Caenorhabditis elegans: one gene and its partner. The gene in region 1 interacts genetically with each later gene. Each region holds a gene or a part of one and is shown in the gene's direction. Other genes may lie near its edges.

The links.
Region 2: of mif-2 (region 1) and efl-1, changing one enhances a phenotype caused by changing the other (phenotypic enhancement), as found in Caenorhabditis elegans (one large-scale study listed by BioGRID).

What each region holds. Positions count from the first base shown.
Region 1 is NC_003283.11:11,976,259-11,980,387, reverse strand, and holds mif-2 (MIF-like protein mif-2), read left to right. Parts: upstream 1-1,983; coding exon 1,984-2,037; intron 2,038-2,132; coding exon 2,133-2,201; intron 2,202-2,910; coding exon 2,911-2,973; intron 2,974-3,016; coding exon 3,017-3,076; intron 3,077-3,239; coding exon 3,240-3,338; intron 3,339-3,430; coding exon 3,431-3,511; downstream 3,512-4,129. Other genes in the region: snr-4 (putative small nuclear ribonucleoprotein Sm D2), read left to right, coding at 692-699, 750-923, 1,527-1,701; cpr-1 (Gut-specific cysteine proteinase), read right to left, coding at 3,691-4,013, 4,060-4,129.
Region 2 is NC_003283.11:16,959,627-16,967,684, reverse strand, and holds the start of efl-1 (E2F/DP family winged-helix DNA-binding domain-containing protein), read left to right. Parts: upstream 1-2,009; 5' UTR 2,010-2,011; coding exon 2,012-2,159; intron 2,160-2,205; coding exon 2,206-2,336; intron 2,337-2,383; coding exon 2,384-2,493; intron 2,494-3,151; coding exon 3,152-3,302; intron 3,303-4,090; coding exon 4,091-4,234; intron 4,235-7,287; coding exon 7,288-7,522; intron 7,523-8,058. Other genes in the region: fbxa-90 (F-box domain-containing protein), read right to left, coding at 14-653, 701-771.

The sequences.
Region 1 (4,129 bases):
AATGGTACTAATATTGTGCACACTTTACCTAGGAATATATTTTTCATCTCTACAATGTTGACTAGCGCCCTGAATGCTCCAAGGATACTGTTTTCCAACTAAATGTTCAACTGTTCAGTATTTATATTCTGCCTCCTAGAGGCGTTCAAAAATTGCGTATGCCACCCATGTTTCAGGGGACATCGCGGGCAATTGGGAAAAGTTTTCAACCAGCAATAAACGCACCTCGGCAAAGCCTCATTGGTCACGTTATCGCCCCAGCGCAAAGCTAAATTCAGCAGCTCACTCAGCTGATCCTATAAAACACAGCAACCGACAAATCGCGGCTTTCGCGCACAATGGTGCTTTCTGCATTCTGTATTCTTCGGAATGCGGCGCGTGTGCGTTGCGGTCGTCTTTTTCGAATTGCAATCGCTCGCGGTTTATCGGAGTCTCTCTGTTTTCTTGAAACGAATCTCTTCCCTTCGATTAAAACTGCATAAAAACTAATAAAAATCTCAAAATTGATTTTTCTTCTACTTTCTTAAGATCTGTAAAGTTTCGTTCCTCCGAATTCCTCTTTATGATTATTTAGAAAACCTCGCCCAATACCTTATTCTTCACTCTTATCGGTATTTTTTACATGAAATTATCATTGATTCTCAGCTAACCAATTTAATTTCAGGGACTTCTATCAAAATCAACTTTGATCATGTCGGCGTGAGTTCACATTGTTTTCATTGACCAGTAGTTTAAATTTATTTTTACAGCCAAGCCAAACCCCGTTCAGAGATGACTGCTGAAGAACTCGCTGCAAAGGAGGACGAGGAATTCAATGTCGGACCACTCTCCATCCTCACCAACTCAGTCAAAAACAATCATCAAGTTCTCATCAATTGCAGAAACAACAAGAAGCTTCTCGGAAGAGTTAAGGCTTTTGACAGGTTAGGTTTCTTAGAAATACTATTAAGTAAAAACTCACAAGTATTTGTCGGTAGTAAACTTCAGACAACATTTTTTAAAGAAAAGTGTTTCAAAAATAATATTTGAATCATCGATAGTGAACGTATTTTGGTTGTCGTCTCGATGCTGTAGCAAAATATCATTTACTATATATAATGCATTTATTCCGTTTGTCCATAGTTTGTAGTCTGTGAAGGTTTGGCTTAGTGTAGGGATATAGTCGGGGTACTGTAGTGGTACAATAGTGGTACGGTAGGAGTACTGTATGATTATGGTAGTTTCAGAAAAATTAGTTTTCAGCCCCAGAAGTCGGGGCAGCGCCAGAGGTGCGGTCCACGGCTGGTAGATTTAATAAAACGGCACGATCCTCCTGTGCTGTAACAAATTGTCGTGGCATCAAATTATTCAAACACGTATTGCTACGATTTCCAAAGGGAAAACACAAATCTTACACTAATATAAGTACTTTCTCATTTGCCGTAACTTTCGTGTCCCGCAAAGCATGCAAAATTCCAAGAGGAGTTTTCTACTATTGTTCGTATAAAAATAATTGGAACGTATAGTCTAATTCTTTACTTTTTCAGACATTGCAACATGGTCCTCGAAAATGTGAAGGAAATGTGGACTGAAGTGCCAAAGACTGGAAAGGGAAAGAAGAAGGCAAAGTCTGTCGCCAAAGATCGTTTCATCTCAAAAATGTTCCTCCGCGGAGACTCCGTCATTCTCGTCGTCAAAAACCCACTGGCACAAGCTGAATAATTCACCTTCAGAAAATCTCCCAATCAGTACGGTTTTCTCGTATTTGTTATGACACCTTACAATTTTCGAAATTTTCACTCTTGTTCTTCCCCCTCCCGTTCACCCTGTTGTTTCGTTTCAATGATCATCATTTTCCACTTTTTATTTATTGATAAACGTTCCTATTTAATACCACAGTCGTGTTTTTTTCTGAAGTTGAATCCGTATCCTCGCGGCAGATGATTTTTGTAGTTCTGCGTGATTGTTGCTTGAACTTGAAACCGGTTTTTCGATTTTTCGTCGATGTTGACTGTCAGTGCTATCAGAATATCATCGTCTTTCGTCTTCAAAGTTCAGGTTACTATTGGTCGTTATTTTTTGAATAAAAACGCTATATTCCACGTTTTTCATGAAATGTGATTTATTGCCATATTCCAAAAAATCAATTTCAGAAACGAAAAATGCCGATGGTCAGAGTTGCGACGAATCTACCAAATGAGAAGGTTCCTGTTGATTTTGAGGTTTGTGTTTTAATCAAACATTTTCTAAACGACTCAACAAACACTGAACAGTCTAGAGAAAATTTGTAGAAAAAAACAAGTATTTTAAGAGAAACAAATATGGTTCCCGGTCTCGACACGACGAGTTTTTTCGTTGCGAGAAAGTGTGCGCCTTTAAAGATTACTGTAATTTTATACTCGAGTTTCTGCAGAATTCTTAAAGATTTTATATAGTTTTTCTCACAATAAGTTTTTCAATGAAAATATTTTTAACGAAAAACTATGAACAATTGATGAAAATTCCTCAGCAAGGGAAGTTTAAAATTACAGTACTCTTTAAAGGTGCACACCTTTTTTTTTGCATTTTACAAGCACCTGTCGTCTCGAAACCAGGTACAGTATTTTGGGACCACAACTTGGCAAAACAGACATGTTTTTGAAAAATAATATTAAGACAGTTCAGACAAATTTTTGAAATATTTTATATTCAGTTTTCGCATCCACAATTTCGGAAGTTGACCAAAAAGTGGATTTTCTACGAATTTTTGATATTTTAATAATTTTCCGTTTTTCTAGAGTATTGTACGGTTACAAACATGAACCATTGTTCCAAATTCTCAAAAGTCCCGAACTTTTCGTAGCGCCAATTTACCAAAGAAAACTTTCAAAAATCTGAACAAATGCCAACTTCACATAGTATTCCTTTTAAAATGTGAATTTTCAATTTAAGATTCGTCTCACCGATCTTCTTGCTCGATCAATGGGAAAACCAAGAGAGAGAATTGCTGTCGAGGTATATTAGTAATCTTTAGTAATTATTAACTTTAAAGTTTCAGATAGCCGCCGGTGCTCGTCTAGTTCATGGGGCCACTCATGATCCTGTGACCGTAATTTCGGTAAGTGACTTAGGAACACTTTCCAAAAGTAACACCTTGGTAAACCAAAACCTTTAAAACTACATTTAAGTTCCTTGTTACACTTAGAAAGGAAATTAAAACTTTATGAAACCATCCTTTTTCTGGCAGAAGTTCAAAATTCTCGCAATAATAAATTCTTTAGATCAAATCAATCGGAGCAGTGTCTGCTGAAGACAATATTCGCAATACGGCAGCCATCACTGAGTTTTGTGGAAAGGAATTGGGTCTTCCAAAAGATAAGGTAAGTGTAGTTTATGTCAAACATTTAAGTCACAAATATTTCGTTATGTTTTATTAATCAAACAATGGATTATTGATATTTCAAAATTTCAGGTTGTTATCACATTCCACGACTTACCACCAGCTACGGTAGGGTTCAACGGTACAACTGTCGCCGAAGCAAATAAGAAATAATTTTTGATGTCAGTTGTTCATAATGTGACTAGATTAATTTTGATTTCATGCACTTTTGTAATTGCTCTTCGTAAATTTTAATAAAGATATATATATTTCAGAAGATTTAAGAACAAATTTAAATTATGAACATTTTTATTTGGCAGATGGTAATTACAAAAATTGTGTACATAATGCATTTAGACCTTGGCCTTTCCGGCGACAACTGCTGATTCAATTCCGCATTGATCATCTCCACGGTAGATCTTGAAGAAACCGCTCTCTCCCCAGTTAACTCCCCATGAGTTGGCAACAAGCCAGTATGGAGATCCGCTCTCAGTTCCCCATCCGATGATCTTAATGGCGTGTCCTCCGAGGTACTTTCCGGCGGTGTGCTTGTAAACTCCGCTCTTGTATTTGTAGAAGTCTTCGTAAACAGAGAATGCAGCCTCAACTGGTCCATTAGCGTAGATTTCAGCTTGGATGGATGCAGCATTCTTTGGAACAGCGTAGGCAGAGACTCCTGAAATAATATAATTATTCCACAATTCTATGTAATTTTTACAAACCGAAGTGCTTGTCCTTGGCGTAGGCAGTTGAATATCCAGATTGGCAGCTCATTGAGCAAGATGGAGTCTT
Region 2 (8,058 bases), 5.0 Mb from region 1:
GATTTCGACTCACATCTCTAATCTCCAATGCATCATCCGTCGTCAGATCCTTCACATTTATGTCAAATTGAGTGAAATTTACAATATGCTTAATAGGGATCAGAAACTTGGACCGGTTGTTCAGAATTTTAGCTTTCTTCCATTGCTCGAGTTCCACAACGCCATTTATCGGCTCATAGTACTTTAGGAATTGAGCTTGGAGAGTTATTTCTTCGAGAATTTCAGGTTCGAACTTCTGAAGTATTTCAGAAACTTCACGGGCGGTGAAGTCATCGATAATCACTTTTTTCGCTTTTAACTTGAAGTTTAAGGATTCGAAAAATGACTCAATTGCCTTTAAAATGATTTTTCTTTCATTAAAATTGTTGGTAGCCAGCTGTATCAGAAATTCATCAACTTCAGGGTACTTCACCAAGCTCTTCAAGTCCTCCATCAACATTTCAACGTGGTTCCTTCCAGCATGTACTCGGCCACTGTTCTTATATTCAACTTGGCAGGCTCCATCAACTTGCTCATAGGTAACCCCGCCGTAGTTCTCATCGAGAATTAGTCTTGAAAATTTTTCATGAAAATTTACATGAACCGTCTTCAGATTTGGACCGAGGTTATCGATTATTGCTCGGAAGCTGTAGGACACTTTTCGAGCGATTAGCCTGAATTTTCAATGCTTTTTTTCTTTAAAAAAACAAGGAAAACTCACCTTTCCAAAGCTTCCAGATTATTCAAAATTTGTTCAATAAGTTCGATTGGCAAGTCGGAGAGTGATGACATTTTGAGAAATTTGAAGAAAAAATGAAGTGATTTCAACACAGTTCTCTGTGACTAGTGGCCTAGTTGGACAGCGCAGAGACGCAGGCGCACCAGCTGACTAGAGAGTATGAGAATCAGACACCGAAGGTGTTTCAGAACTGGCCGCCAACTTGAACCTGTAAAATGTAGGCACAGCTTGAACCCTTGGCTTTAAATAAAATGTAGTCTTAGTTTGAAACCATGTGTATTCAGACAGGCTTTTCACTGTCTTACTTCCAGAAATTTCAGGAGTCGCATACGAAATTTACGTAGCAGTCATCGAAATTTTAAACAGAAAGCTAAGACCTGCGGCTAAGCCTGAGACTAATTTTAGGCCAAATTTTTGAGCCTAAGCCTAACTATTAGTTAGACCTTCTTATGTATTTGGCGATGGCAAAACGGTAATATCGAAGATTTTCAATTATTTTTGCCATTTTTCAAACAGTTCATGTGTATTCGTATTAAAACATTGTAGGGGTCGAAACATGCGACATTTCTTTAAATTTCCTCAAAAGCTCGTATTCAAAATTTTGGTAAATTGCCAAAAATTTTTTTTTGAAGTTTTATTATGATATTTGATCTTTTTTACACTATTGGAGTAGTTTTTAACACTTTCCCCACTGACGCTACTCCACCTTTAATAACGTGGTGACGTCACAATCTTTTTGTAGATCAAACCGGCATGGGACAGCCTGACACCACGTGAAAATACCAAAGGAGGCGAAATTTTACAAATTCAATTTTTGTTAAAACTGATTTGAGCCCACAAAAACAAAAAAGTGATGGCTAAAAAAAAGTGATGGTTAATTTCACGACACTACTTGAATAACCCCATTTTATCTGAATTTACGGTTTTGCCGCCAAATACCTAACGGGGCCCAATTTTTTTGGGTTCTAACTTTTTTTGTCTTCAAATTCAAATTTCCCCTTATTATACATTCAAAAAACCACGTACTTCTTTCATTTTTATCTTCTCATTCAAGCGAAACTTTTTCCCGCGGAAATTTGAGTGCAAGCGCGCTCCACTGCACCTTTCTCGTCTGCGTCTCCACCTTTCCCATTGTCTCTAATCCGTGACGAAACCTCATCATTTCTCGCATTTTGGAGGGGAATTCAAATTGATTTCTCTTGGTTTTTCTCGTTTTTTCTTGATTTTTCTCGTTTTTCAGCTCATTTTTAACCAAAAAATCGGATTTTTCAACTAAAATTCCGCATTTCAGCCATGGAAGACTCGTACAACGACATGGAAGACCCCGGCTTCCGCCAATTATCTGACATGGAGCTTCAAAAAGCGCTGGAAATGACCAAACAGAGCTCGATAAAGAACAATTTGATGCTCGGGCTCGACAATGAGCTTGACTTTGATTTTGGTACAATATTTGTCGAATTTTAAGCCGAAAACCCCGAAATTTCCAGATTTCGACGAGGATGAGGACCTGGATCAACCACAAATGGGCACACGAGCCGATAAATCGTTGGGATTGTTGGCGAAACGATTTATTCGAATGATTCAGTACTCACCGTATGGAAGATGCGATTTGAACACTGTATTTTTGAAAAAAATCGTGAATTTCGCAATTTTCGTATTTTTTAGGCCGCCGAGGCGCTCAATGTCCGGCAAAAGCGACGAATCTACGATATTACGAATGTTCTCGAAGGAATTGGTCTTATTGAGAAAAGAAGCAAGAATATGATACAGTGGAAGTAAGAAAGTCGAATTTTCAGCAGGAAAAATGACGTTTTTCAATGAATCGGCGGAAAATCGTATTTTAACAAGAAAAATGACATGTTTAGAAAAAAAATCAATTTTGTGTCAAAATATTGATTTTTCAGCTCAAAAAGCTTAAAATGCAAGAAATTTCGGAAAATTTCAGATTTTTACGTGAAAAATCGCATTTTCAGCCAAAAAATGGCGCTTTCCGGCAAAATGGATGAAAATCACATTTTTTGGAATATAGCTCCTATTTCCTGTAAAAATCGATAAATTCGATTTCTAAAACACTAATTTTTGAGATTTTTCACCGAAACAAATCGAATTTTCATATGAAAATTTCATTTTTGACACAAAATCACTTTTTAAAGTTAAATTTTCAATTCAAAGCTCAATTTTGTGGCAAAATCCTTATTTTTCAGCTTAAAAACATGAAAATTGCTGAAAATTTCAGATTTTTACGTGGAAAATCGGGTTTTCAGCCAGAAAACACAAGAAAAGGTCATTTTTAACACAAAATTACATTTTCAAAGCCAATTTTTCTATAATAGCCTCAATTTCGCTCCAATTTCGGTGAAAATCTCTATTTTCCGGCTCAAAAACCGCTTTTTTGCACATTTTTCCCCGGAAAACTCAATTTTTTGTTTTCAGAGGCGGTGATTTTATGCTAAACGTGAAGGAAGGGAAACGACAATCGGCCACAACAGAAGAAGAAGATCGAATGGAACAATTAAAAGCTGAAATTGAGCAATTAAATAAGGAAGAAGAGCTCATTGAGCAACGTCAAAGATGGCTTCAGCAGGTAGCGAATTTCCAGAAAATTTGATGAAAAATTTGCTGAAAATCGATGAAAATTGAGCCAAATTTACGCAAAAATTGGCTGAAAAATGACCAAAAATTTCAGAAAAATTCAGCCGAAAATTGAGAATTATTTGCTGAAAGTCGCTAAAAATTTGATCAAAATTGAGCAAAAACTGGCTAATTTTGATAGAAAATTGAGCAAAAATCACTGGAAATAAGGCTGGAAATTGGAAAAAATTTAACCAAAAAGTCCTGAAAAAAATAGAAAAATTCAGTCGAAAATTCTGGAAAAATATGGCTGAACATCATTAAAAATTGAGCCGAAATTTAGAAATAATGGGGCTGAAAATCGCTGAAAAAAGCTGAAAATTTGACTTAACTTCCTGAAAAATTAGTCTGAAAATCGTTGAAAACTGCTGAAATTTTGCCAAAATTTCCTCCAATTTTCTGAAAAAAATATGGATGAAATTTCGAGAAAATCAAGATAAAAATGGTGCCAAAATGATGAAAATTTTGTAAAATAAATTCTGGAAATTTCGGCTAAAAATTGCTTGAAATTGGTCCAAAACTGCTGAAATTTGGCAGAAAATTTCTTAAAAATTCAGTCAAAACTTCTGGAAAATTCGCTGAAAAATGGTCAAAAATTCATTAAAATTGCGGACAATTTTTCTGAAAATTTATAGGAAATTTCAGGCAATCTGAGCCAAATTTTCCACAATTTTTTTTTGAAATTTTTGGTCAATTTTTCGACAGTTTTAAGCCAAAACCGCTGAAATTCTCAAATTTCAGAGCCTCCGAAACATGACAGAATCCGTGGAGAACAACAAGCTCAGCTATGTGCTCCGTTCACAGCTCGCCGAGATTCAAGGCTCAGATCTTACGATTGGAATTCAAACGAGAGTCGGCACACAAGTTCGGCTCAGTGATCCGGAGGTAGAGAAGAAAATGACGCGAAAATTGGAATTTTCAATGAAAATTTAATGGAAAAACCTGGAAAATTGTGGAAAATTCATATTTTTCTTGGAAAAAACGGGTACAAAACCCGATTTTAACTGAAAAAAACGCTGATTTTTGCTCAAAATTAATTCTTTTTAAGAATTTTCGATGAGAAAAATGAATTTTTTAATTTAAAATACATAAAAAACTAGAAGACTGTCCAAAAACCGAAATTTCTGTCAAAAAAGTGTAAAAACTTCTCCTCGTGGAGTACACGAGCTGCGTAAATCTACGCAATATTTTTCTGTGTTTTTTGTATGCAAATTTGTAAAAAAAATATCAAAAAAATAAATTTTTGGCTGAAAAACGGTGAAACATAATTTTAAACAATATTTAAATACAAATTATTTGTTCTAAAAATTTTTTAAAAATTCTTAAATTTCCCTGATTTTTAGCAAAAATAACGAAAATTCTTCAAAAAATTTGATTTTCTGCTAAAAAAAGTGTAAAAGCCTCCCCTCGGGGAGTACACGGGCTGCGTAAATCTACACAAATAATTTTTTTCAGCTAAAAATTGATAAAACGAAAAAATTAAATAAAAATGTTAAAAAAAAAGAAGAAACTTTTTCAATTTTTAGAAAAAAAAAAGAAAAAAAAAGCTCCTTTTTCCAAAAAAAAGCAGAATTTTTTTTTGTAAATTTCCCAAAATTTGGCGAGTTTTCATTTTTTTTTTGTTGTAAATTTGACGATTTTCGTAAAACTGTCGTAAAATACAAAAAAATAGACTTTTTTTCGAAATATTTTGTTAAAAATCAGAAAAAAAATTTTTTTTAATTGATTTTAAAATTCACAGAATTTTTTTCGATAAATTTCAGAAAATTCCTGAAAAAACTGAAAAAGATTTTCAAAAAAAAAAACGCAATTTTCGCTCTATTTGGCTCTAAAAAACAAGACAATTAAACAAAAATCAGAATAAAAATTTTAAAAAAATTGTTTATAAAATTTTTGATAAATTTTAGAAAATTTCGGAAAAATCTTCTTTTTTTTCAAAAAAAAAATCGAACATTTTCAATTTTTATTTTCCCCCATTTTTTCCAATGAAATTAAAATTGCAGCAAGTCGATTTTTGATCGAAAAAAAGCATTATTTCTATGTGAAATGCATAAAAACCTATTACGGGAACAATAAATCATGAGAATGCGTACTTGGTGCATTTTATTTGACGCGCGATATCTCTTAGCGAAAACTACATACAGTAAATGCTTAAATATCTATTGTTATTTGAGTTCTTACTGTAGTTTTCGCTAAGAGATATCGCGCGTCAAATAAAATGCACCAAGTACGCATTCTCATGATATATTGTTCCCGTAATAGAAGACTGCCCAAAAACTGAATCTTCTGTCAAAAAAGTGTAAAAGCTTGTCCTCGGGGACTACGAGCTGCGTAAATCTACACAATATTTTCCTGTTTTTTTTCTCAATTTTCGCTTTTTTTTTTGTATGCAAATTTGTAAAAAATATCAACAAAAATTTTTTTTTGGCTGAAGAACGACGAAAAATAATTTTAAACAATTTACAAATCATTTGTTCTAAAAAATTTTTTTTAAATCACACTTGTTTCTTAAATTTCCCTGATTTTTAGCAAAAATAACGAACATTCTTCAAAAAATTTGATTTTCTGCTGAAAAAGTGTAAAAGCCTCTCCTCGGGGAGTACACGAGCTGCGTAAATCTACACAAATAATTTTTTTTTTGGATAAAAAATTGATAAAACGAAAAAATTAAATAAAAACGTAAAAAAAAGAAGAAACATTTTCAATTTTTAGAAAAAAAAAAAAGGAAAAAAATGCTCTTTTTTTCCAAAAAAAAAGCAGAATTTTTTTGTAAATTTCCCAAAATTTGGCGAGTTTTCATTTTTTTTTTGTTGTAAATTTGACGATTTTCGTAAAACTGTCGTAAAATACAAAAAAATAGACTTTTTTTCAAAATATTTTGTTAAAAACACAAAATTTTGTAAAAAATCCGAACAAAAATTATTAAAAAATTCATAGAATTTTTTTTGATAAATTTCAAAAAATTCCTGAAAAAACTGAAAAAGATTTTCAAAAAAAAACGCAATTTTCGCTCTATTTGGCTCTAAAAAACAAGACAAATTAAAAAATATCAGAATAAAAATTTTTAAAAAAATTGTTTATAAAATTTTTGATAAATTTTAGAAAATTCCGGAAAAATCTTCTTTTTTTTCAAAAAAAAATTTTCAATTTTTATTTTCCCCCATTTTTTCCAATGAAATTTTAAAAAAATTGCAGAAAGTCGATTTTTGATCGAAAAAAAGCATTATTTCTATGTGAAATGCATAAAAACCTAGAAAACTGTCCAAAAACCGAAATTTCTGCCAAAAAAACTAAAAACTTCTCTTCGGGGACTACACAAGCTGCGTAAATCTACACAAAAAATTTTTGTGTTTTTTTTTTCTCAGTTTTCGCTTTTTTTGTATGCAAATTTGTAAAAAAGTATTTAAAAAATAAATTTTTGGCTGAAAAACGACGAAAAATAAATTCTAAAAATTTACAAATTATTTGTTCTAAAAGATTTTGAAAAAATTACACTTGTTTCTTAAATTCAGCAAAAGCAGAATTTTTTTGTAAATTTCGCACAATTTGGCGGTTTTTTAATGGAAATTTGACGATTTTCATAAAATTGTCGTAAAATACAAAAAAAATAGTTTTTTTTCAAAATATTTTGTTAAAAATCAGAAAAAAAATTTTTTTTAATTGATTTTAAAATTCACAGAATTTTTTTTCGATAAATTTCAGAAAATTCCTGAAAAAACTGAAAAAGATTTTCAAAAAAAAAAACGCAATTTTCGCTCTATTTGGCTCTAAAAAACAAGACAATTAAAAAAAAATCAGAATAAAAATTTTAAAAAAATTGTTTATAAAATTTTTGATAAATTTTAGAAAATTCCGGAAAAAATTTTTTTTTTCAACAAAAAATCGAAAATTTTCAATTTTTATTTTTTCCCCATTTTTTCCAATAAAAAAAATTGCAGCAAGTCGAGATACACGGTGGACCATCTTGGTGTTACCTGAAAGATCCCTCTGGACCCCTCCGAGCCGCCATCGTTTCCAACCATGAGCTACATGATTTTGTACAGAGAGAACGAGCAAAACGGCCTGGTGAAGAGCACGTTGACGCTGATGCTCCAGATGAAATGATGGATGATTCAAGATATCGGAATCGGCGGACGATCAATGATGATGAAATGTTTGGTTTTGAGCAGAAAGGTGCTGCTGAATTGCTGGAAATTTTGCTTATTTTTTAAAGCAGAATTTTGAGAAAAAATGGATTTTTTTCACTGAAAGTAGCTAAAAAATAGCTTAAAAATGAAGAATTTTGAAAAAAAAAATTGGAAAAATCATCATTTTTTCCAAGAAAACACCAAAAAAACTGGACTTTTATGGACGTTTTTTCGAAGCTAAAAAATCCAAAAAATTTACTTTTTCTGATAAAAAACATTTTCCTTTTGTTTTCTGCACCGTTTTCTAGAGTTTTTCGAATCGAAAAATAATTCTCAGATTTTTTCACATGAAAATTTGAAATTTAAGCGAAAAAAACATCAAAACTGTTTTTTAACAAAAAAAATTGAAAAAAAAAACCGGAAAACCTAGAAATCCGCCAAAAAATTTGAGAAAATTTTCACAAAAAAAAGCATAAACTGAATTACATAAAATTCTTTTAAAAATTACAGAAAAACTGGGAAAATTTGGGAAAATTACCTCTTCTTTTTAATTTTATTTTTCGCATTTTATGAACGAAAAGT